3 linked regions of the Saccharomyces cerevisiae S288C genome follow. The protein of the gene in region 1 interacts with the protein of each later gene in a biochemical or structural test. Each region holds a gene or a part of one and is shown in the gene's direction. Other genes may lie near its edges.

Region 1 (8,074 bases):
CAGAAGTCCAAACCAAAGATCAAAGAGCAGACATCGGTACTTCTTGTGGTAAAATAAACATGTGAAAATAAAATGCCGCCCACACTTGACAACCCATCACCATTACTGATTTTCTTTGTCAGGTACGCTACATAAGTTGTTGAGGCATTCAGTCCTGTCACGTAAAACATTTCTGTCACGCTACCACCATATTCTGTAATTTTTTTTTGAATCGCCAAGTCAGTACGCTCTAAAGGATTTGTACTATTTGACGTAACTGTTGCATTTGATGTATTTTGGGAAGACACTAAATATGGTCCATTTTTCACAGCACAAAGAGATAAATTATAGTTTTGGTTTAGTTGAACAGAATCTTCGTACGAGTAAACATACAGATCGTACAAGGATGGATCATATATTGAATAATTGTGATAAACTTTGGCGTCTGCGGTGACATTCCCCGTTGATAGTAATGCAGAATTCATATCAGTGTCCAGGACCTCTACCCAAGGCCTTACATCCCACTGAAAAACCAAATCGTTCTCAGAGATACTCAGTCTATATTCCCAATTTTCAGAGGCGTCGGAACTGGACAGAGGTTGCTCCGTAGTGGAATTCACTAGCTCAGCGACCACATAAAGATTTGAATACGTGGAGGTAGCGTTCGAGCTAGAAGACTGCACTGGACTGATGGCTAATGCTTGGATGTAGCCATCCTGAAAAACTGCACTTTGACCTATATTTGGGTTCTCTAAAACCGTTTCATTAAAAGAGTAGTATATTGTTAAATCCACATCTGATCTATTCATGGGCATTTGGCATATATTGCCGCTAATAAACATTAACACTTCATACGTGGGAGCAAACCCATAACCGGAGGCTTCTGCGTCAATGGTAAATACAAAACTGTCTTTTTTGCCCGCTGTTATGTTAGATAAGATCGGGGTCCATTCATAAATGCTATCCGAATTGATGATTGTTTGTTGACCAGTAGCCATAACGTTTTTCTCCCATCTATTTAGGCTGGGAAACTTTAAGGAAATATTCTTATTTGCGAAAGGATTGAAGTCTTGGAATAAACCGTGAATAGAAGTGGTAAATAGGCAGTAAACCACGAATAGTGCTTGCCACACTATCATCCTTAGAAATAATACTGCCGCTGGACAGAAATTGTAGTGTTACGGGTTTTACTGCAATTCAGTATGGCAGTTAAGCCAGTCAAGTATTTGAGAAATAGCCAAAACGGTACGTCAGCCGGTCGAAATTATTAGGGAAATTTTCCGCAACCAATGGCTCAGTTTCAGTAACCTGTTCTTGAGAAAACAACACGTTTACTTGTAGAGTTACTATTGCGGTCCGATGGCAGCGAAACTATATCATTATTATATTATGTATGGCTTCTCAATTTTGATCTTTTTTTTTTTTGGTCAGTACGCGATTTTGAAAGAAATGGAAAGAAGCTATAAAGAGCACAGGATAAATATCTTTTCAAAGCTTGAATAATTTTATAAAAGGTGTAGGAACAGGCCCGACATACAAGAATGTCGACAAGTACAGAGAAGAGGAGCAAAGAAAACCTTCCATGGGTTGAAAAATACAGACCCGAAACGTTGGACGAAGTGTACGGACAAAATGAGGTGATCACCACAGTTCGTAAATTTGTAGATGAAGGTAAATTGCCACATCTTCTATTCTATGGGCCTCCAGGTACCGGTAAAACTTCTACAATTGTTGCTTTGGCACGTGAGATATATGGTAAGAATTACTCGAACATGGTTTTGGAGCTGAATGCATCCGATGACAGAGGTATTGATGTGGTGAGGAATCAAATTAAAGACTTTGCCTCTACAAGACAAATCTTCTCTAAAGGGTTCAAGTTAATTATACTGGATGAAGCAGATGCCATGACCAATGCCGCACAAAATGCGTTGAGAAGAGTTATAGAACGGTACACCAAGAATACGCGGTTCTGTGTATTGGCCAATTATGCGCATAAACTTACACCTGCGTTATTGAGTAGGTGCACGAGATTCAGATTTCAGCCCTTGCCCCAAGAGGCCATTGAGCGTCGGATAGCCAACGTCTTGGTGCATGAGAAGCTGAAGTTGTCTCCTAATGCGGAGAAGGCCTTAATAGAACTTTCTAATGGGGATATGAGACGTGTGTTAAACGTTTTGCAGTCTTGCAAAGCTACTTTAGACAATCCCGACGAGGATGAGATCAGTGACGACGTTATCTATGAATGCTGTGGGGCACCCAGACCAAGTGACTTAAAGGCAGTATTGAAGTCGATACTGGAGGACGATTGGGGTACCGCCCACTACACACTTAATAAGGTACGCAGTGCCAAGGGTCTCGCGTTGATCGACCTAATCGAGGGCATAGTGAAGATACTGGAAGACTACGAACTTCAAAATGAGGAAACAAGAGTGCATTTGCTTACCAAACTGGCCGATATAGAGTACTCGATATCCAAGGGTGGCAACGACCAGATTCAGGGCAGCGCGGTCATTGGCGCCATCAAGGCCAGCTTCGAGAACGAAACTGTTAAAGCCAACGTATAATCGACGCAAATATGTATAGATACAATATGTACAGAACAACTGCATTGTGCAATATAACAACATAACACAACGCCCAGAACGAAATAAAAAAAATAAAAGAAATAGATGAAAGCATTTTCAATTTGCATACCGGAAACCGTAAATCAATTGGCGTCTAGCTAACAACTGAGAATGCGAATCGCCAAATTGTTACAGAAAGTAGCATTCCGTTACGTGATCTGTACTTTAACCTCTTGGACGTAAAGAATGGCAGAACTCTGGCTCTAGTGTTCTGCGAATGCCAGATCGGGAAATATTTCCCAAAAGGGCAACAGCGGCACGAACAAGAATTTCGTGTTAAAAATCGCGTCCGGCGCGAAATTTTTCGCGGAGGCATGCGACGCAAAAGCGACTCGAAATGTCGGGAGCCAAATGAGGCTACAAGGCTGTGGGCAGATTTTGGCGTTATTATGGAGAATAAAAGGAATGGTAGCTTCCATATAGCGATAGGAAAACATATATAAGGTCAATAGGCCTACATGGTAATGGGATTGATAAGCTTGTCCTTAACTCTTGTGTCTTGGAATTACTATTGCGTACATCAGCAATCATCCATTGTCAAGAACAAAAACGATAACAAAAACAATCAATTATACAAATAACAGTAAAGTAATAAAATGTGTGAATACAGCAAGGCTCTTCATATTCTGCTCAAGTCGCCAGTAACGGATGACATAATAAAATTCTTAACAGACACAACATTGAGGGTTGTTCCTTCAAGCAACTACCCCACGCCTCCCGGTTCTCCAGGAGAGAAACACCTCACAAGGCTGCCATCGCTAATGACTTTTATCACTAGATTGGTCAGATACACCAACGTCTACACACCCACTCTGCTCACCGCTGCGTGCTATTTGAACAAATTAAAGCGTATTCTGCCCAGGGACGCTACTGGTCTCCCCTCGACCATCCATCGCATTTTCTTGGCCTGTTTGATACTGAGTGCTAAGTTTCACAATGACTCTTCTCCTTTAAACAAGCACTGGGCTAGGTACACCGATGGTCTCTTTACACTAGAGGATATCAACCTTATGGAAAGGCAGTTGTTACAGCTGTTGAACTGGGACCTCAGGGTGAACACAGAAGATTTGATCCTAGATCTGCAGCCTCTATTAGAGCCCATCAAGCAAGACTTGGCAAGATCCAGCGACCAAAGGAAGAGAATTAACATGATGATGTCCATGAACAGAAGGACTTGTGCTGGCACGAGTCCTATCAGATCAAACAACAGATTCAAACTCTACGAAAAACAGAGAAACGTGTCGATAGCATCCGATTTAAGTTCTGCTACTCTAGTCGACAGTTGTAATGATCTAAGAAGGCTAAAAGATGTAACCAACATAGCGAACAACACAGTCGCTAACACGAATTACGTCAGGACGGTAGAGAAATGGAACGACAATGTCAACAGGCAAAGTTGGGATCTGGAACAGATCATGAGTCAACATGGGTTTTAATGTGGTAAACAAGATGGCCCTTACGGGGCTCTTAGTGGGAGAAAGATTTTTAATAGAGCATAATTAACGGATACATAATATATTATAAATTTAAATAATCAAGGATACCTAATAATAATAACAATCAACTGAACACAACATTAAAAATGGTATTTGTTATTGTATGTTAAGCCCTAAGTGATTGTGCCGTTATAACTTCCATTCGGGTGATACCTGCAATATGAGGAAGAAAAAAGATAAATTTTTTCTTCTTAAAGTATAAAAGGCGGACATATTTGATTTAAATGCAGAAGTTTTCTCTCAGTGGTTTATGTTTTACATATGATAGAAAAAATGAAGCAATAGCAAAGTATCGTAGTGCGAACCGGTCTCGTAACTTTGATAAGTTTATCAAAGGCGTTAACATTTTGTTTCGTAATAGTACCTTAACACATGACGAAGATGAAAATTAAACATGAATTCAAGGAAAAATGGTAAATGACGAGAAAAAAGCTGTGCACCAGTCTGAACATGGATGCCACAAGTACTCAGGTGTCCTATGAAGCATTAAGTATACCCAAATTTCTGATCCATTTTCCTTTATTTTCTTTTTTTTTTTTCTCTCACATCTGTGACTGTATTATGAGCAAACTGTTTACGTTGAACGGAATCGATATGTAAATTAAATCTTTTGAAATATGTAGGACAGTGCTTGTATAGGTCTGTTAAGTAGATTATAGAATGTACGCCTTTTTTCTGGGCGTGAAATAGATCAGAAATCCTGTTAGGTTGCCACTGGTCCATTTCAGTGTTGCTCATCCAATCAATCATGTATTTACATGCCTGGAGTGGCCTATTCTATGTATTAACAGCCTTTGCAAGACGCGACATTGTTCTTTCCGATATGGCTCGGAGTAGACTAAATATGCTACTTATAGTTTTTCTTGCGTATACCATTGTCTTATAGTTTTTGCACACATTAATGTTTAAAATTGAAACTACGAAGCAAAACAATAAAAAAAACAAACAAAACTTAAAAATAAACAAAAGACGCTCGAAACCAAGTGCATTTATTGAATGTTTTTGGGAATGCAAGTAGCAATACTATTGTAAAAGTACTACTATTTCCCTGTATCATACGCTTTTACTACTATTCCTCACATAAAGCGAGATGCTTACAGAATGCATAAGAGAGAGAAGAAAACCCTATTACGCCCACTTGTCTATATTAGATTACTGTCCCTATTTATATCATCATTGCAAAACGTGAGCACCTCATTAGACGTAGATTCTTGCATAAGTATTACTAGCAGGAGAGGAAAAACTCCACCCACACACCTCAACATGCTGAGAATTTTGCTGCGAGCAGCAAGAGGCAAAATCCAAATTTAAAGTAATTTACGCATAGAAGACATTGTAAAGGGATTGCAAAGACGTAGAGTACGCAAGTTAGAAACCGTTCATCTTTTAAAACTCCCAAGTTTTGACAAATTTGCGAGTGTGTGTGTTTCTGCTGATCTTGACGAGATTAAACTTTGTTCCTGAAGCAACAACGACAGCAACTGAACATCCTCTGAATAAGTTAATATGTTTTCCGCTCAAAAGCCAATATATGGCAATGGAGCAGGCGTGAACATGGGTGGTGGTGGTCCTTCAACTAATAATCCAGGATCTATGTCCATGCCTGGGGTTCCAACTTCAATGGGTCCAGGCATGAATCAACAAATTCCAAGTGGAGGCCCCATGCTAATGGGCAATACTCCGAATAATAATAATAGCAATGAAAATGGCGAGAACAACGGCAATAACGGCAATAACGGCGGTAACGATGCTAACGCAACTCGAAACAATCCCAACATGGTCAATAATAGAGGCGCAGTGCATGCTCTAGATGATCCCAATGTATACCACTGGATTTGTCAATTGACCTACGGCCCTCAAAAGGAACAAGCACTGCTTGAATTAGGTCGCAAAAGAGAACAGTTTGATGACCTTGCCGTTGTGCTTTGGTCTTCCTTTGGTGTAATGACCTCATTGCTGAACGAAATCATTTCCGTATATCCCATGCTGCAACCTCAGATGCTCTCTAACAATCTATCAAATCGTGTATGCAACGCTCTAGTTCTTCTACAGTGTGTTGCATCTCACCCAGAGACAAAACATCTCTTTTTACAGGCCCATATTCCTCTCTTTCTTTTCCCCTTCCTAAATACTACCTCCAGGCAAAGAACTTTTGAGTACTTGAGATTGACTTCATTAGGTGTGATAGGCGCATTGGTCAAAAATGACTCACAAGACGTAATAACGTTTTTGCTAAGAACCGATATCGTGCCGTTATGCCTAAGGATCATGGAATCTTCTTCTGAGCTTTCCAAGACAGTCGCCATTTTCATTTTACAGAAAATCCTACTAGATGACGTTGGATTGCAATACATCTGTGCCACCTTGGAAAGGTTCTACGCCGTAACTAATGTCTTAAAAGATATGGTTGAGCACTTGACCGTGAGCACACCACCGGGACGACTACTGAAACATATCATTAGATGCTACTTAAGATTAAGCGACGATCTCGAAGCACGCAGGCTATTGAAAATAGTCTTACCTGCCAAACTGAGAGATAACACTTTTACGGAAGTACTAAGAGACGACGTCGGGTCCAAGAGATGTCTGGCACAATTGCTACTGACATTAAACGAAGAAACCTCATGATGCATCCCCATAGATATATTACTGTTTTTCTCTTTCTATTTTCCTGTATTGTTTTAACCTTGCCTTTTTGTTTTAGTTTCACTTCCTCACCTCTCCTAATTTTGTATAGTTATATTTATATGCATGAAATGTATAAAGTCCACTCATATTTCAGAATGGTTTAAGTTAAGTGCCAGAAGGTTCTTCTGTACTATTACTATTACCCATTTTTCATCCTATCACCCGGAATGTACCCCTTGTGTCATTCACTACGACGCCACGAACCACGATTCTATTTTTTTCGAAATCTAAAGGTTTCGTCAAGATCAATGAAATATACATAGGCGTTTTTTTGGATACGAGTTGCATTGTTGAGAACACAATTCTTTACAAATAAGTGCAAGGGAGGAATTGTGTGTGCTCATTACCAACGTACTTCTTCAGTTATTCTGCTAAACCCGTTTTTTTGTTCTTAGCTTCATCCAGGTGAGCCCGCAAACATTACAGAACGACGTATAATACAAAATAACTAAACAAATACGGATAGGACAAAAGCCAAGAAGCGATACTAAATCACAGAGCGAATCAACATGTCTGCACATACTTACAAAAAGTTTGAAAACTCGACCTCGGGCGATTTACCTGATAAAATGACCATTTATCAGGATTGTATGAACACGTTTAACGAATCACCTGTCAATTCCAAGAGATGTCGTTTATTGATTTCTCGCTTGCTGAGACTCTTGGCCCAGGGCGAAACCTTCCCACAGAATGAAGCAACTGCATTATTTTTCTCTATCTCCAAATTATTTCAACACCAGAACGATCCTTTAAGGCAGGCTGTTTATTTGGCAATCAAGGAATTGAGTGGCATTTCGGAGGATGTGTTGATGGCAACCTCTTCAATCATGAAGGACGTTCAAAACGGTTCCGATTTGATTAAGCCTGACGCTATTAGATCGCTGACTTATGTCTTGGATGAATCTACTGCTTTTTCCGCTGAAAGGTTATTAAAAAGTGCCGTGGTAAGTAGACATCCTTCAATATCCTCAGCAGCATTATGTACTTCTTATCATTTGCTGCCCATTTCAGAAGTCACTATCAGAAGATTCACCAATGAAACTCAAGAAGCTGTTTTGGATTTGAAACAATTTCCAAATCAACACGGTAATAGCGAATATTATCCAAACTCCACTTATATTTCTCAATATCATGCTCTTGGGTTGCTTTATCAACTGAAGAAAACTGATAAAATGGCGTTACTAAAATTGGTTAGACATTTCTCTGAAAACAATTCTATGAAAAATCAATTGGCCAAGGTAGAATTGGTCAAGATTGTCAACGATTTGATTTATAGGGATCCTCAAT
Region 2 (8,362 bases), on another chromosome or scaffold:
CCTGGATTGCAGTGTTCCAAAAATTTCCTGTTGATTAAATGTTCTGTTTGTGGAGTTCCCGGCAATGTGACCACGATTGCATGAAACTGGTATAGTTTTGCATATATTGTTTCATCTAGCAAATGAAATTTCCAGCTTTCGTTTTGACTCATTGTGCAATCTTCGCTTCTTTTGCAATAATGTATTTCCATTCCTAGCCCGTATTGCAACTTGTAGGCTACTTGCTTTCCAATACTTCCTAAACCAAGAATTAAGCATTTCTTTCCTCTTGGTGATTCAGCAAACATATTCCCCAGTTCATGGCCAAAAGCAAATCCGCTCTTTTCTGCAGCTTTCGCCCTTGCAGTTAATGTATTTCCAGTTTCTCTACTAAGTTTTTGGTAATAGGAGAACTTTCTAAAGCCCTCCAGAATGTGCCACAAGGCACAATCTGCCACATCATTACCGACTTGATGAAGCTTTAAATCGTCTATCAATTTTTCATTTTCATCGTCTTGGTAGTTGTATAATCGAATTTCATGCTTGCGTAATGTATCCAGATCCCATCCGTCGTAACCTCTTGAGCAAAGCACGATACATTTTAAATTTTTCCTTGGAAATGACTTGTGTTCGATGATACTTCGAGTCATCCCACCGATTTTTTTGAATGCCGGAAACCCAGCATAAATGGCACATATTTTGTCTTGTTCATGCCTTTCTAAAAAGTTAAGAAATGCTTCTTTGGTGTCCAGCTGATAGCGCAAGATCCTGAACTTCTCTTTGAATGCCTTGGAATTAAGTGTGGCTGATGTTTCGCACGGATCTGCGATGAAAAGAATAGTAGGCTTTCCAGTCGTTGCAGGAGAATCGCACATTTTTTGTATGCTCTTTTCCTTCTAAATCTGCTGTCAACCCATTGTCGAGTGAAGTTATAAAAGCACAGCTATTTCTATATTCCTTTTACGACCGCCATTACACACGTTCATTGAGGCAAACTTTCCTCCTTCGCGCGTGCGTTTCCCAAGGGTAGTAGTAAGAGCTTACGGAACAGCCCGAAAGGCTGTAAAAGTTTAATATACTTACTGTTCTTGAAATTCTGTCTATATACTTGACTATTTAAAGTTACTATCTTTGGATTTGAACCTTATAAAAAAAAAAAAAAAAGGTACATGCATATTTTCCCTTACAATTTCGAACTCTTAATATTCAATTCTGAGTCCTTTCTGATGAGATCTTGATTGTAAAATTCTTCGTAAATACTTAAAGGCTTATGCAGGTCATCGATGGTAGTGTTCACAGCTAGGTTCTTATTCAATTTGTTGAAAAGATATTTGCCATTTTCTCTTACTTCTATAATATCAGCGTCAACCATCGCCGCTAATAAATCTTTCTTCAAATCTACTATATTTTCGATACCGCAGCAAAGACGAACCAAATCTTCAGGAAAATCTCTCTCTTTCCTTAATTCGGGATCAATGGAAGCATGGGACATTTTGCAAGGCATAGATAGAAGCGAATTTACACACCCGAAAGATACCGTCACAGCCCATATACTCAGTTTTTTGGAACTGACCAGTCTCTTTGAATGTTCGAAGGACCCCGTTTCGAAGGATAACACGGCACCTGGGCCATTATTGAACGATTTATGCAGCTTGAAATCCGGGTTGGAGCGTAATCCAACAAATCTAGTTTTCGTAGCCTTGTTTGTTCTGGTAGGTTTGAATCCGCATGAATTTTCTAGCCAATGAGCCAATATCATAGCATTTCTCTGCTGTTGATATAATCTAACTCCTAGAGTTTTTAGGCCCCTCACAAGTAGCCAAGAATCCATTGGGGATAATCCAGCTCCTGTAGAATTAATGACAAAGTAAAGCTTCGAGGCTATTTCTGGTGTTTTGCTGATAATAACACCCCCCATCAAATCGTGATGACCATTCAAGTACTTGGTAGCAGATTCGTATACGACATCGCAGCCTGGATTCAGTTGAAGAGGATTACAATTGAGTCCACTCATCATAGTATTATCAACGACAACTGTAGTGTCGGGAGATATGCATTTCACAAAACGTAATATTCTAGGGATATCTACAACCTTGCAAAGCGGATTGGTCGGAGACTCTAGAAGAACACAATCAACTTTATCTAAAGACTGGAAAACGGTTTTGAACTTTTCAAAATCGGAAGTGTCCACATGAACAGAGACTGCATGACTCTGTTGCTTGAAAAAATTCAGCAGCCTTTGGGTGCCTCCATAAAGATCATCGCCGGCTATTATTGTTGGCGTATGGTTGTCAGTGCCGTTAAGTAAGACGAGCCCACGCAGGATGACGTCTAGCGCCGTCATACCACTGCTCACAGCTAATACGTTTTCCTGTGGGACACGATAAAGCTTACCAATCTGGTGTTGAAGGACACTTCTGGTCGGGTTTCCCGATCTGGAATAATCGTAGTTCTGTGCATCTTCATTATTCAAGTCCACTTTGAAGGTAGTCGACAAATACACCGGTGGCACGGAGGCTGAATGTTGGTCATTTTGAGAGCCGGTATTTACCACAACTGTATCTAATCTCTTGATCGGCATCTTTTTGCTTCTATGCTTTTGTTGTTTGCTTGATATTTTTTGTTTTTAATGAACTGTAAGCACACAGAGCTATGGGATGTGTGGCAATGACTGTATATATATGTATATATATATATATATATATATATATATTTATTTATTTATTTATTTAAAATATAGCTACGTATGCGCCAGTTGTTTTTATCAGCTTTGCTTCTGGCCACATTTCAACCAGGTCTCAGAGGATATATGGCCAGAAGGCCCCTTTACACACTTTTGAGATGCGATGAGTCTTCCAAGGTAGGAGCATATGCCTCCAACAGACTTCGGCCCGAAGCATGCTGTGCTCACGGGAATTATATTGTGTGAAGCACATGCCACACTTTCCAAAAAAGAGTCAGAATGAGTCAGCCGGATAACCAAACGCGGACTGTGGCGCCACGGAAAACAGTGTGGCAAATTTATGGGCGGCTAATCTGCAAGCTCTATGCCTGGAAATGTAGATGTAATAATCAAGACACTTTTGTTCTTTCGTGTATAGTGCATGAAGGTTAAACCTCCGTAAATTCCTTGAACTCTTCTGGAATTCCAAATTCTTTTCTTATCTGTTCTGGCTTCAAAAAGAATTTCTTGTATAAATAATCAATGAGAATCTCAATGTTATCAGTAGTTTTCTCCAGATGCACTTTTTTTAGGCGGATCTGTTGTTTATTCTCTTGTATTTTTGCTGCATCCCATCTAATGCTTTCTATTTTTTGGAGACTATTACTCTTTTTCTTAATTTCATCCTGAATTTTTTTTCTCTTTTCCAGTAGAGCCTCCCTATTGTATGATTTTTGGCCTACCGTAAATTTTTTACGCCTTCCAGTTGCTAGCGTTTTGTCTAGTTCTTGTTTATAAGTGGCAATATCACACTTTACTTCCTGTATCTTTTTTTTTATCAACTCGCTTGAATCATACAATTTTTGCAGTGTCTGATTTTTAAAGCACCAGTAGATGTTAATATTACCACATTTTTCCACCGAAATGACGCCGTCTTCATCAATCATTTGTTGCACTAAATCTTTAACGATCATGGGTGAGATTCCGCATTTTTTAGGTATGCTTTTCTCTAATTCCTTGATGTTGTAGAATGTGTACGTCTCTTGAAAAAAGTTCAGAATCCGGTTCTTTTTCTCTTGGAGTGATACTGTCTGTCTCTTTGGCCCCTAATAATAAGAAGAGGGTAGCACGCACCCGTCTATAAGTTAGTGTTCAGTCCTGTGTACCATGATGGTTTTATTAGACATACCATTGTTGAATGTTTATGATACTACACATAAAGTTTCCGCCGTTTAGTCTATATCGCAAAGAATAACGGTGGGACGGGAGATCGCCTTTTATATGCAATTTCGTGATCTGGGCGGTTATTTTACTTTTTTTCGACGCATAAAAAAGCAGGAAAGATGGTAAATTCGGTTCGTTATTCAAGATTTTTAGAGCCAGAAAGATATTTGAGCGTGCCTTCGTGAGAAGAGGCTTAGGTTGAGACGATGATGCTGAAATTATGGCAAGACACGAATTCTTCTTCAAGTTTCCCTTGTCATAATAAGAAGAGAAAAACATACCTTTATGTCGGTTGCAATTAAGAAGGTTGTATAGAGCATCTCAAATGCTGCTTTTACTTTATTAAACGTTGACCAAATAATACGGCGCTTTTGTTTCGACAACGACACACTATGATGCAAAGCGGATCCGGGTAATCGATAAATGGGGGCACCCGGAAATTATTGTAAGTTGAAGAAAGTTAGTGTTGATCTCTAAATGCTTCACAAAAGGGTGGAAGAAGAACATTTTCTCTTGATCAATCATTAATATAGATGGAGGCAGCGTTCTGTCAATCACAGATTATAGTTTATTTATACTTAGTCAAAAATGAGGTTTAGGAGTTCTTCCCATAGCTTAAAACATGTTGACAGAGAATTAAAGGAGTTGATTAATTCGTCCGAGAATGCCAATAAATGCGGTGAATGTGGTAATTTCTACCCAACTTGGTGCTCAGTTAATTTGGGGGTTTTCCTTTGTGGTAGGTGTGCCTCTGTTCATAGAAAAGTTTTCGGTAGCAGAGACGACGATGCCTTTTCTAACGTTAAATCACTATCAATGGATAGATGGACAAGAGAGGATATCGATGAATTAGTGAGTCTTGGAGGCAATAAGGGGAATGCTCGGTTCTGGAATCCTAAAAATGTCCCTTTTCCTTTTGATGGAGATGATGACAAAGCCATCGTGGAGCATTACATTAGAGACAAGTATATTTTGGGTAAATTCAGGTATGATGAAATAAAGCCTGAAGACTTTGGATCCAGAATGGATGATTTTGATGGGGAATCGGACAGGTTTGATGAAAGAAATAGAAGTAGGAGCAGGAGCAGATCTCATTCTTTCTATAAAGGGGGCCATAATAGGTCTGACTACGGCGGTTCCAGGGACTCATTCCAAAGCAGTGGAAGCAGATATTCTAGGCAACTGGCAGAACTCAAGGACATGGGTTTCGGTGATACAAACAAAAATTTAGATGCATTATCGTCCGCTCACGGAAATATCAATAGAGCAATCGATTATCTAGAAAAAAGTTCAAGTTCAAGAAATAGTGTATCGGCAGCAGCGACAACATCAACTCCGCCCCTGCCCAGGAGACGTGCGACAACAAGTGGCCCACAGCCAGCTATTTTTGATGGTACAAATGTAATCACGCCAGATTTTACTTCAAATTCAGCATCTTTTGTACAAGCAAAGCCAGCAGTTTTCGATGGTACCCTTCAACAGTATTACGATCCTGCTACCGGAATGATATATGTAGATCAGCAGCAATACGCCATGGCTATGCAACAGCAGCAACAGCAACAGCAACAGCTTGCTGTCGCACAGGCTCAGGCTCAGGCACAGGCACAGGCACAGGCTCAAGTTCAGGCTCAGGCTCAGGCTCAGGCCCAGGCTCAGGCTCAAGCACAGCAGATCCAGATGCAACAGCTTCAGATGCAGCAACAGCAACAGGCGCCATTATCTTTTCAGCAAATGTCGCAAGGAGGAAACCTGCCACAAGGTTATTTCTACACACAATAAAAATAAGATACATTGCCGCTGCTCCGCATTACATATCATATAGAGTGACACTAAGTAATTAAATGACACTAAGTAACGAAAGATATCTGTAAACAACGACTATATACCAGAATTAGTCATATTCTCTATTGTATTCACCCTACACAGCCGCATTACACAGCTGCTCCGGACGTTTTACGCTGCACATCAATGACTAATACCACTGTATTTGATCCACACTTAGCGCAAAAGTCACCTGGGTGGCGTTTTCCGCTCGCGCTCCGCCGGTGAGAGCGAGAAAAAAAAAAGGGATTGGGCGGTAATGTAAGGAAAACCCACTAGTTAAAATCAATGAGATAAGGAACTCTCTTTTTTTCCCGTTAATCATCTTTTCCTTGTTCGTTTCGTGTATCTGTAATGAATCTTATCGGAGTAACTATTACTGGAAAGCCATACCGTTAAAGAAGCAAGCATATCATTCGTATTCAAGCATCTGTTTTTCTTTTTAACCGCTCGGCTCTGATTTCTTAAACCATTTCCCCCATCAGCATCAGTTTGTGATTTGTAACTATATCGATCGTGGAATCGATGGAATTCTAAGCGTCATTTAGTTGGCAACAAAAGGAATCGAGCATCTCATAAAGGAGCTTATATTATTAATATCTTCCTGATCGTACTATTTTTTTTTAGCTTTTTATTTTTTAGGCCGAGGTTAATTCTAGAACGCCACATTTCATCACCTTTAAGTTAAGTACCAAGGCCATCTTTTACCCTTTTTAGTTTCTGGGGAAACAGAGAACAGTACTATAGAAGATAAAAAGATATAATACAATCGTAGTAATAGTACCCATAATAAAATAACATATAATATAATAAAAACATAAGGCAAAGGAGATAGGAGAATAATCATTGATATCTCCACAAAACGAATTTGAAGCTACCCCATATTTTCAAATCTCTTTTACAACACCAGACGAGAAATTAAGAAAATGGGAGACATTAAAAATAAAGATCACACAACCTCTGTGAACCATAATCTAATGGCAAGTGCAGGAAATTACACCGCTGAGAAAGAAATCGGAAAGGGTTCGTTTGCCACTGTATATAGAGGGCATCTGACATCCGACAAATCTCAGCATGTAGCCATAAAGGAAGTATCAAGGGCGAAATTAAAAAATAAGAAATTACTAGAGAATTTGGAAATAGAAATCGCTATCTTGAAGAAAATCAAGCATCCTCATATCGTCGGACTTATTGACTGTGAACGAACATCAACAGATTTTTATTTGATCATGGAGTACTGTGCTCTTGGGGACCTAACATTTCTGTTGAAAAGGCGTAAAGAATTGATGGAGAATCATCCTCTACTAAGGACCGTATTTGAAAAATACCCTCCACCGAGTGAGAACCATAACGGCCTGCATAGAGCGTTTGTCTTGAGTTATTTACAGCAGTTAGCGTCCGCTTTGAAATTTTTGAGGTCTAAAAACTTGGTTCATAGAGACATCAAGCCTCAAAACTTACTATTATCTACACCCCTAATTGGATATCATGATTCAAAAAGCTTCCATGAACTTGGATTTGTTGGGATCTACAACTTACCCATTTTAAAGATAGCAGATTTCGGGTTTGCAAGATTTTTGCCAAACACGTCATTAGCAGAAACTCTTTGTGGCTCACCATTATATATGGCACCAGAAATTTTGAATTATCAAAAATATAACGCTAAAGCAGATCTGTGGTCTGTCGGTACAGTGGTATTCGAAATGTGCTGTGGCACCCCACCGTTTAGAGCTTCCAATCATTTGGAGTTATTCAAGAAAATTAAAAGAGCAAACGATGTCATAACGTTTCCTTCATATTGCAATATTGAACCAGAGTTAAAAGAGTTGATATGTAGTTTATTGACATTTGATCCAGCCCAAAGAATAGGATTTGAGGAGTTTTTTGCTAACAAGGTAGTCAACGAAGACTTGTCTTCTTATGAATTGGAAGATGATTTACCTGAGTTAGAATCCAAATCAAAAGGTATTGTAGAAAGTAATATGTTCGTTTCTGAGTATTTATCTAAACAGCCAAAGAGTCCGAACAGTAATCTTGCAGGTCATCAATCAATGGCAGATAATCCCGCGGAGCTCAGTGATGCCCTCAAGAACAGCAATATATTAACTGCCCCAGCCGTTAAAACAGACCATACACAAGCCGTAGATAAAAAGGCTTCAAATAATAAATACCATAATAGCCTAGTTTCAGATAGAAGCTTTGAAAGAGAATATGTGGTGGTAGAGAAGAAATCGGTTGAAGTTAATTCATTGGCAGACGAGGTTGCTCAAGCAGGATTCAATCCAAATCCTATTAAGCACCCAACTTCAACTCAAAATCAGAACGTCTTATTGAATGAGCAATTCTCTCCAAACAATCAACAGTATTTTCAAAATCAAGGAGAAAATCCGAGGTTACTGAGGGCCACATCATCTTCCAGTGGAGGTAGTGATGGGTCTAGGCGACCATCTTTGGTGGATAGACGCTTGTCTATATCCTCGCTGAATCCATCTAATGCATTATCAAGAGCCCTCGGTATTGCATCAACGAGATTGTTTGGTGGTGCAAATCAACAGCAGCAACAGCAACAAATCACATCTTCCCCACCGTACAGTCAAACTTTGTTGAATTCCCAACTTTTTCATGAACTTACTGAGAATATAATATTAAGAATAGATCACCTACAGCATCCAGAGA
Region 3 (8,828 bases), on another chromosome or scaffold:
CGCCTTGTACCATCATTATGGTTATAACGTCGACGTTGATTATATTGACTAGAATATTGTTGGTGAGAATGGCCGTTTGAATACTGATAGTGACCAGAACGCGAATATTGAGGCTGTTCCTGGGGTTGTCTGTATGAACCAGAAGACGCGTGTGCTCTTCTATAGTAATTTGACATTCTCTAAACGCAGAGACCTCTTATAAAGATTCAACAAATAAGGAATGTTACCTATGCTAGTCGCAACTCTCTCGTAAGTTGAGGGTTGCTAACAGAAAAACGATGAGAAGAAACTTTTGAAAAATATTGTGTGAAAGCAGCACGAAACAGAGTATGAAAAAAGAATGCGGGCGTCCGTAAAGAGCTAGAATCGCAAGTGTCCAGAATATGCAAGGCTTTCGAATACACTCCTCACGCTTCTCTTCAGCAAAAATCAACTCTTTGTGATAAAACTGTGTATTTCTTTGTTCTTTGCCGTTGTTTACGTTAGTAAGAAATCGGCATTGAAAAAAAAAATCTCACACTAAAATTGCAGAAAAAAGTGTACAATATCAGTAAATAAAATTGGCCAAAACAATACCATTAAAACCAGTCATGTCCATGCAACAAGTCCAACATTGTGTCGCAGAAGTACTTCGACTAGATCCACAAGAAAAACCGGACTGGTCGAGCGGATATTTGAAGAAGTTGACTAATGCGACATCGATTTTATATAATACTTCACTGAACAAGGTAATGCTGAAACAAGATGAAGAGGTTGCTAGATGTCACATATGTGCATACATAGCGTCACAGAAAATGAATGAAAAACACATGCCTGACCTTTGCTATTATATAGACAGTATTCCCTTGGAGCCGAAAAAAGCCAAGCATTTAATGAACCTTTTCAGACAAAGTTTATCTAATTCTTCACCTATGAAACAATTTGCTTGGACACCGAGCCCCAAAAAGAACAAACGCAGTCCAGTAAAGAACGGTGGGAGGTTTACTTCTTCTGATCCGAAAGAGTTGAGGAATCAACTGTTTGGTACACCAACTAAAGTTAGGAAAAGCCAAAATAATGATTCGTTCGTAATACCAGAACTACCCCCCATGCAAACCAATGAATCGCCGTCTATTACTAGGAGAAAGTTAGCATTTGAAGAGGATGAGGATGAGGATGAAGAGGAACCAGGAAACGACGGTTTGTCTTTAAAAAGCCATAGTAATAAGAGCATTACTGGAACCAGAAATGTAGATTCTGATGAGTATGAAAACCATGAAAGTGACCCTACAAGTGAGGAAGAGCCATTAGGTGTGCAAGAAAGCAGAAGCGGGAGAACGAAACAAAATAAGGCAGTTGGAAAACCGCAATCAGAATTGAAGACGGCAAAAGCCCTGAGGAAAAGGGGCAGAATACCAAATTCTTTGTTAGTAAAGAAGTATTGCAAAATGACTACTGAAGAAATAATACGGCTTTGCAACGATTTTGAATTACCAAGAGAAGTAGCATATAAAATTGTGGATGAGTACAACATAAACGCGTCAAGATTGGTTTGCCCATGGCAATTAGTGTGTGGGTTAGTATTAAATTGTACATTCATTGTATTTAATGAAAGAAGACGCAAGGATCCAAGAATTGACCATTTTATAGTCAGTAAGATGTGCAGCTTGATGTTGACGTCAAAAGTGGATGATGTTATTGAATGTGTAAAATTAGTGAAGGAATTAATTATCGGTGAAAAATGGTTCAGAGATTTGCAAATTAGGTATGATGATTTTGATGGCATCAGATACGATGAAATTATATTTAGGAAACTGGGATCGATGTTACAAACCACCAATATTTTGGTCACAGACGACCAGTACAATATTTGGAAGAAAAGAATTGAAATGGATTTGGCATTAACAGAACCTTTATAACATATCCAGTATTAACTAAAAGTATATATTTGACCAATACCTGACATATCTTCTAAAGCATGCCTTTAGCCCTATAACGAGCTAATGTTAGCTCCATCTTTGCACTTATGATTGGATCAGCCCTCAAACGCTTTTGTATCTTTGCAGCTTCCGCGAAGGTAGTAGCTTGAAGTTTTTCATCCATAGTTCTTGCTAAAATTGCAGAATCTTCAAACAATTCTATGGCCTCGTCAATTTTTTCCATTTGTAATTTTAGTTGTGCTAACCCGATCTTCGCTTGTTCAGATCGTGGATCTAATTCACAGGCTTTTGTCAGCAGCTTAATGGCTGCGTTGAATTTCTCTTCATCCAACTGGGTTGGATCTTGAGAGGATTGTCTAGCTAATATAGTTGCTTTCCCAATCAAGGGTCCTATACCCACATGTATTTTTTCTTGCACTTCTTCCAACCTTTTAGCAATATCATATTGTTTAATTGCAGTATCAAAATCGCCCCTATCTGTCAAGATTTCAGCGAAAAAGGTGGGCACCTCAGGTAAGGTAGGAAACTTCAACTTTGTTTCATTGAAAAAAGCTTCAGATTCGGTAAATTTACCTTGCTTGTACAACAAACAGGCTAATTGAATGTAGGGATAAACATTTTCAGGGTTCAAGCTTTGGGCCTTTTGGAAATCTTCCTTGGCATTTTTATAATCTTGTAGAATAAAATACATCTGCCCACGGTGGTAATAGGTTGGCGGATACTCAGGGTTTAGATCAACAGCTTTTTGGAAAAATTTGAAAAATTCTTGAGAGTTTTCTTTATCGGCCAAGGTCAATGCCAAAAATATGTACGAATTTGGTGTTGGATGCAGGTTTATAGATTCTTGTAAAAGAACTTGGGCATCTAACAGGTTATTTTTTAAGAAATGGAAAATACCCGTGTAGCACAATGCCAAGGCAGCATTCTCTCTTAAAGGATCGTCCACTGTATTTGCAGAAAGTAGAGAGTGGTACATGTCAGTGGACTTTGTTAAAAGATCGTTTGCTACTAAGTAACCTTCATCTGTTGCAGAATATAGTCTTTGCAAAGCATCTGACAATAGAGCGTATGCAGTATCGTAGTTTGAACTGGTGTTCACACTAGAAACTTCTAAGTGAGAGTCAAAAATCCCAAAAAATGACGCCAGAGATGTGTTAGACGGCAAAACCTGCGAGCCTCTGCCTTCATCCTTCGATAGGTTTTCATTTAGTACTTTCATTGCTTGCTTATTTAAATTTCTTTCCAGCATAGGTTCAATGGAGGCTCCATCAAAGTCACCATTCAATGACAAAACAGATAGATCAAACATAGCATCAGTGAAGTTGCCCAGTGACTCGTTGGCAGATGCACGTCTCAGCAAGGCTTTAGAATGGTCAGGTTTTATCTCAAGTGCCTTTGTAGTGAACTCTATAACCTTCTCTAAGTCGCCCGTAGAAATGTAACAAGCAGATATGTTGGAATAGAACACTGGTTCATTCGGGTCCAGCTCAATGGCATACTGGTAGTATTTGATGGCCTCATTAAAATTCTTAGCAGTGAAGAAGTGGTTACCTCTGTTCTTCAGTTGCACGGCATACGCTTGTCTCTGGGAGGGTGATAGGCCTTTCAATTGGGCAATATCAGGCTCGCCATTGGGCAAGGAGGGATAGTCAAACCCTTCTCCCGATTTTGCCTTATTGTTCCTCTTGCGTTTATTCTTCTTCTTCTTCCTCTTATTACTTCCACTTACGACGCTGCCGTCGTCCTTTAAGTCCGCCTCGTCTTCATTTTGACCAGCAAAGGCCTCACTTTGACGTCGGTTGTCTTTTGTACCCTTCAATTGCTGCTGTTGCTGCTGCTTAATTTGCTGGTAGTAAACATAAGCACCCACAGCAGCAGTCCCCGCAGAGACCGTTGCTAGGATGGCCACTTTGTTCTTGGTGATAAACCTCAGGAGGGAGTTTTCGGCCATAAGAGCTTCTTATGTTCGGTATATACAAGTATGTAGAGATATATACAAAAAATTCTTTATTCGCACTTTGAAAATCCAATTTAGCTTGCTTATTTACATACCATTGCGAATTAGTTTTTCACATTGCACTAGAGTGTGCTGTGGCTGCCTGTCGGAACACTACGTCGCGTAGTGGCGATCTATATAGAAAACAGATCACAGCTGAACAAACAAGAAGAAAAGGCTGCCTCATTCCCACTGCTGTCTGTTTTTCCTCCTGGCTGTCAGCCATTGTTTCTTGCATTCGCGGTATGCGTCAAAATATTCTTGGCACTTGGATCGGTCGTAATCGTTGCGCTCGAGGCACTGAAAACTGAGCTTGGAGGACTCCTCACAAGGATCATAGTACTGACTGTCAGCCTTTAACGCGAATTTATACTTATTGACCGGGTTCTCCGGGTCGTCTGGGTAGTATTGAAATGACGACGGATCGTCGCTCTTTGGTACATAGTTGACTTTGGTTCTGTCCGTTACGGGTCCACTGGCCGCTGGTGGCGTGGAAGACGAAGATGGTTGTGAATTGTTGCTGCTTGTAGAGCCACTGTTGGTATTTGTGGTATCCCTATTATCGTTGGTCATGGTCATACCGTTGGAGATAGTGGAGAGACTACTAGTTTGCCGCCTGGTGGGGCTGGGCTTCTCCATTCTCTTTAAGCGCTCTCGTGAGAGAATATCACTGTTTACGGCCCACAAAGAGAATGAGAAAATTGATAAACCTTAGCATTGGGATCAGCAGGAGCCTTAGAATTCTGGGTGTGAACAGAAACACATTAGTGCATTAGTGTATAGGTTCGATATTATTCAAAGAGGAACTCGGTGTACGGCTCAACTGTAAACCGTACTTCTCGTTCTTTGTTCACTGCCCTGTTTCTGACTCTTGTGCCGTGAGCTTTTCTTCTTACAGTGTCGATTTCCTGTGCACATACGTTCTGTATAGTGGTTATTCCTGGATGTCTACTAATACTGTTCCCTCATCTCCCCCAAACCAGACGCCACCTGCTGCTTCTGGCATCGCTACCTCTCACGATCACACCAAGTTCAACAATCCCATCAGACTACCGATATCCATCTCTCTCACCATTAACGATACGCCTAACAATAACAGCAATAATAATAGCGTTAGCAATGGTTTAGGTATTTTGCCCTCGCGTACGGCTACTTCTTTAGTCGTTGCAAATAACGGTAGCGCAAACGGCAATGTTGGTGCTACTGCTGCTGCTGCTGCCACTGTGGAGACGAATACAGCCCCCGCGGTGAACACTACAAAGAGTATCCGCCATTTCATATATCCTCCAAACCAAGTCAATCAGACGGAGTTTTCACTTGATATACATCTCCCACCAAATACCTCGCTACCGGAACGGATAGACCAATCTACTTTGAAACGCAGAATGGACAAGCACGGGCTTTTCAGCATTAGGCTAACCCCGTTTATAGATACTTCATCCACGTCTGTGGCTAACCAGGGTCTTTTCTTTGACCCCATTATCAGGACTGCGGGCGCAGGCTCGCAAATTATCATCGGAAGATACACCGAAAGAGTAAGAGAGGCAATTTCCAAAATTCCAGATCAGTATCATCCCGTAGTGTTCAAATCAAAAGTGATATCCAGGACCCATGGGTGTTTCAAAGTTGATGACCAAGGAAACTGGTTTTTGAAAGATGTCAAGTCTTCCAGTGGGACCTTTTTGAACCACCAGCGTCTATCTTCTGCGTCTACCACTTCTAAGGACTACCTTTTACATGACGGAGATATCATACAGCTGGGTATGGACTTTCGCGGCGGGACGGAAGAGATATATCGTTGTGTTAAGATGAAAATAGAATTGAACAAGTCTTGGAAATTAAAGGCCAATGCATTTAATAAAGAAGCCTTGAGCCGAATAAAAAATCTACAGAAACTAACTACTGGTTTAGAACAAGAAGACTGTTCCATTTGTCTAAACAAAATAAAACCTTGCCAAGCCATTTTTATATCACCATGTGCCCATAGTTGGCATTTTCATTGTGTAAGAAGATTGGTTATTATGAATTATCCTCAATTCATGTGTCCGAACTGTAGGACAAACTGTGATTTGGAGACTACCTTGGAATCCGAATCTGAATCCGAATTCGAAAACGAGGACGAAGATGAGCCAGACATTGAAATGGATATAGACATGGAAATAAATAACAATTTAGGTGTTCGCCTAGTAGATTGATCACATGAAATTTTGTGCTATATATATATATATATATATATATATATATAACATAGAGTCGTCATACCTCTCAAAAAAGTGGCGGCCAGGGAAAATATTTAATAGTTTCAGTTCATTCCTTCGTTCATTTACAGTAACTTGTAGGAAATAGACCTTTCAATCCGTCACATTCACCATATGTCCACCCGCTACCGTCATCGCCTCTGATAACAGTAATTATGTCCCCCGGATCAATTGAAATCTCATCATCTCCCTGTGCTTCGTAGGCATATATGGCCTCCATCGTCCTAACAGGTAGTGTACTCCTTCTTGGTGGTGGTACTTCTGGTGCAGGGCCTCTATCATTTGCTTTAACTGTAGCCGCGCTAGATATGCGAATATATGTGGTGGGTACAAGGCCGGTTTCCCCAGTGGTGTCGTTATTTATCTTAGTCCATCCAGAACCCGTATCGCGTGCAACCAAAGAGATTTTGTCTCCTGGCGTAATGGTGATTTCGTCATCATCCTTTTGTACGTATGCATACAACACTTTATTCTTGCCGTCATCACTGGAATTTTGTGTGGTCTTTTTTGTATTGTTGGTACTAGTGGTGCGTATAGAATTATTATCTGAATCTTCACCAGCGTTGTTAGGGGCAGAGCCTAGCCTAGTTCTTCTTGATGTGTTGAAGAGACTTGTTATATGCAAGGGTCCTCCGTTGCCATTACCAGTGCTCCCTCCACTCGAAGGCTTCGAGTCGACGTTCAGGATGTTGTGTTTGAACTTACTGAATATCCCGGATTTCTTCTTTGTTTTGGAAAGATCAATATTGTCTGTGGATAAATCGTATTCTTCAGGAACATTATTCTGAATACTTTCGATTTGAACTTCGGCTTGCAATTTTAATGTTTCGTGTGAGGTAAAGGGTGAAACGACATTTAAGTATTCCTTTAGTGTATCATAAAACTTAGTGGCATTGATATTATCTTCATTAGTTTTCATTTCGTGCTTTATCTTGTTCAAAGTAGACAGTTTGGATAACTCATTTTGAGTTTTATCTTGCAATGAATTGTAATCATTTTCTGCTTTTGCCAGTTTTATTCTCAAGTCTTCAACTTCCAACGACGAGGGAACAGCAAATTTTTCATCATCATGCCATACTGGAGATGGCTTATAGACAAAGTCTTGTGGTTCTTTCCAATTCTTTAGATTGTGCTTGATAAAGATGGCCGTGTTTAAAGAGGGTTTATTCTGCTTGACAACAGAATTTGCCGCCTGGAGTCTTTTGCTGACATTTGCACCCAGATCGTTCTCGACAGAAGCCGCCTTCAACCACAGATCATTTAAGAAAAGGGTCTTTGCCTCATTTACGTCTTGTAGAAGATCTAGCACTTCAGGAACATCTTGAAAATAGTATTTATCCTTAGTTCTATTTGCCTGGTTGATCTTGATTAAATATTCATTTTTACACTTGTTCATCTCCATTTCTTTTTCATCCAACTTCTTTTTATTTCTATCATTAGATGCCTTGGTATACCTATTTCTTGCCATTTCCATAGTGGAACAGGCTTCATCATAGTCCTTCTTCGCTTTTTCCAGTTCGTGGTAAATGTTATCCTTTTTATTAACCATGTCATTGTTAAATCCATTTATCTTGCTCAAAGTCATATCAAGTTTAGTGAATAATCCACTCAATTGATTTGCTACATGATTTTCAAAGTCGGTTGATAACTGATCATGATCCTTGGAAATCATATCAGTCTGAGATAGAATTTCATTCCATGCAACCACACCTGCAGCTTCAATGGACCCTGGCGTGGTAGTAGGTGTGTCACCTACCGAGATAGGAACTGAGGTCGAAGACTTCTTATTAAAGTACTCTGCTGATAAGCGAGATAATCTCTCGCTGTAGTCTTTTTCTAACTTAGCCCTTTCCCGATAAAATTGCTCAATGTCCTTCAACCATTTTAAGTTATTTTGGACCCATTTATGGGTTTCCTTAAATGAATCTTTAATTTCATTACCAATCGATAAATCTGCACTCATTTTTATTGCAAGTAATGTAGTAGTTGGCGTTTAAGGATAGATTTCCGCTCATACAAAATTGATCAATCTGCTACCTTCTTCAAAAACTATTTGCGTACAAACTAAATCTGTCTATTCCTTTGCTAAGCGTATATTCTTTTAAAAACTTTTTATTTTTCTGAAGACCCCGCGAAAGCTTATGTAGATCACAAGATATTATATATATTTACTATTTGTAAAATACAAAAGAGGGCAATAAATATACCGGATTATGAATCATCTAACAATTGCAGTTTAGACAACAATTTCAGATTCTATGGAAGTGTAGCGTTCAAAAAATTCCTTAAATAACTTGATTTGGAACTCCAGGTCTGCAGAGCCACCGGTCTCTCTAATCGAATGCATACTCAACACAGGATTACCCAAGTCTAGAGTTCTAATACCTGTCTTTGAGGCCAAAATGGGGCCGATGGTAGAACCGCATGGTGAGTCGTTAGCTACGACAAACAATTGCAAAGGGACTTTAGCAGCCTCTGCTAGTCTTTTCACCAAGACCAACCCTGGTGAATTGGTCATGTAACGTTGATTCGCGTTAATCTTGATTACGGGACCACCACCCAATAAGGGTTTGTGTTGGCTTTCGTATTTGTTTGCATAGTTTGGATGAACTGCATGAGCAACATCAGATGAAAGGAAAAACGACTTAGCGGAAG

Evidence for each region. The genes of interacting proteins can lie anywhere in the genome.
Region 2: of the proteins of PCL1 (region 1) and GTS1, one has a biochemical effect on the other in vitro, tested with the Saccharomyces cerevisiae proteins (one study listed by BioGRID).
Region 3: of the proteins of PCL1 (region 1) and DMA1, one has a biochemical effect on the other in vitro, tested with the Saccharomyces cerevisiae proteins (2 studies listed by BioGRID).

What each region holds. Positions count from the first base shown.
Region 1 is NC_001146.8:84,698-92,771, forward strand, and holds PCL1 (Pcl1p), read left to right. Parts: upstream 1-3,199; coding exon 3,200-4,039; downstream 4,040-8,074. Other genes in the region: MID1 (Mid1p), read right to left, coding at 1-1,118; RFC3 (replication factor C subunit 3), read left to right, coding at 1,521-2,543; CCR4-NOT core subunit CAF40, read left to right, coding at 5,606-6,727; SEC21 (coatomer subunit gamma), read left to right, coding at 7,297-8,074. UniProt on the Saccharomyces cerevisiae protein: G1/S-specific cyclin partner of the cyclin-dependent kinase (CDK) PHO85. Essential for the control of the cell cycle at the G1/S (start) transition.
Region 2 is NC_001139.9:153,453-161,814, forward strand, and holds GTS1 (Gts1p), read left to right. Parts: upstream 1-4,453; coding exon 4,454-5,644; downstream 5,645-8,362. Other genes in the region: YGL185C (putative hydroxyacid dehydrogenase), read right to left, coding at 1-854; cystathionine beta-lyase STR3, read right to left, coding at 1,163-2,560; MND1 (Mnd1p), read right to left, coding at 3,091-3,747, 3,831-3,833; serine/threonine protein kinase ATG1, read left to right, coding at 6,613-8,362. UniProt on the Saccharomyces cerevisiae protein: Appears to modulate the timing of budding to obtain an appropriate cell size independent of the DNA replication cycle. Transcription factor involved in both heat resistance and flocculation.
Region 3 is NC_001140.6:337,391-346,218, reverse strand, and holds DMA1 (ubiquitin-conjugating protein DMA1), read left to right. Parts: upstream 1-4,859; coding exon 4,860-6,110; downstream 6,111-8,828. Other genes in the region: histone methyltransferase SET1, read right to left, coding at 1-176; ORC6 (origin recognition complex subunit 6), read left to right, coding at 591-1,898; protein channel TOM71, read right to left, coding at 1,951-3,870; COX23 (Cox23p), read right to left, coding at 4,099-4,554; BZZ1 (Bzz1p), read right to left, coding at 6,235-8,136; APE4 (aspartyl aminopeptidase), read right to left, coding at 8,410-8,828. UniProt on the Saccharomyces cerevisiae protein: E3 ubiquitin-protein ligase which functions in cell cycle retarding in conjunction with the UBC4 and UBC13/MMS2 complex, 2 E2 ubiquitin conjugating enzymes. Involved in nutritional control of the cell cycle. Targets the G1 cyclin PCL1 for destruction.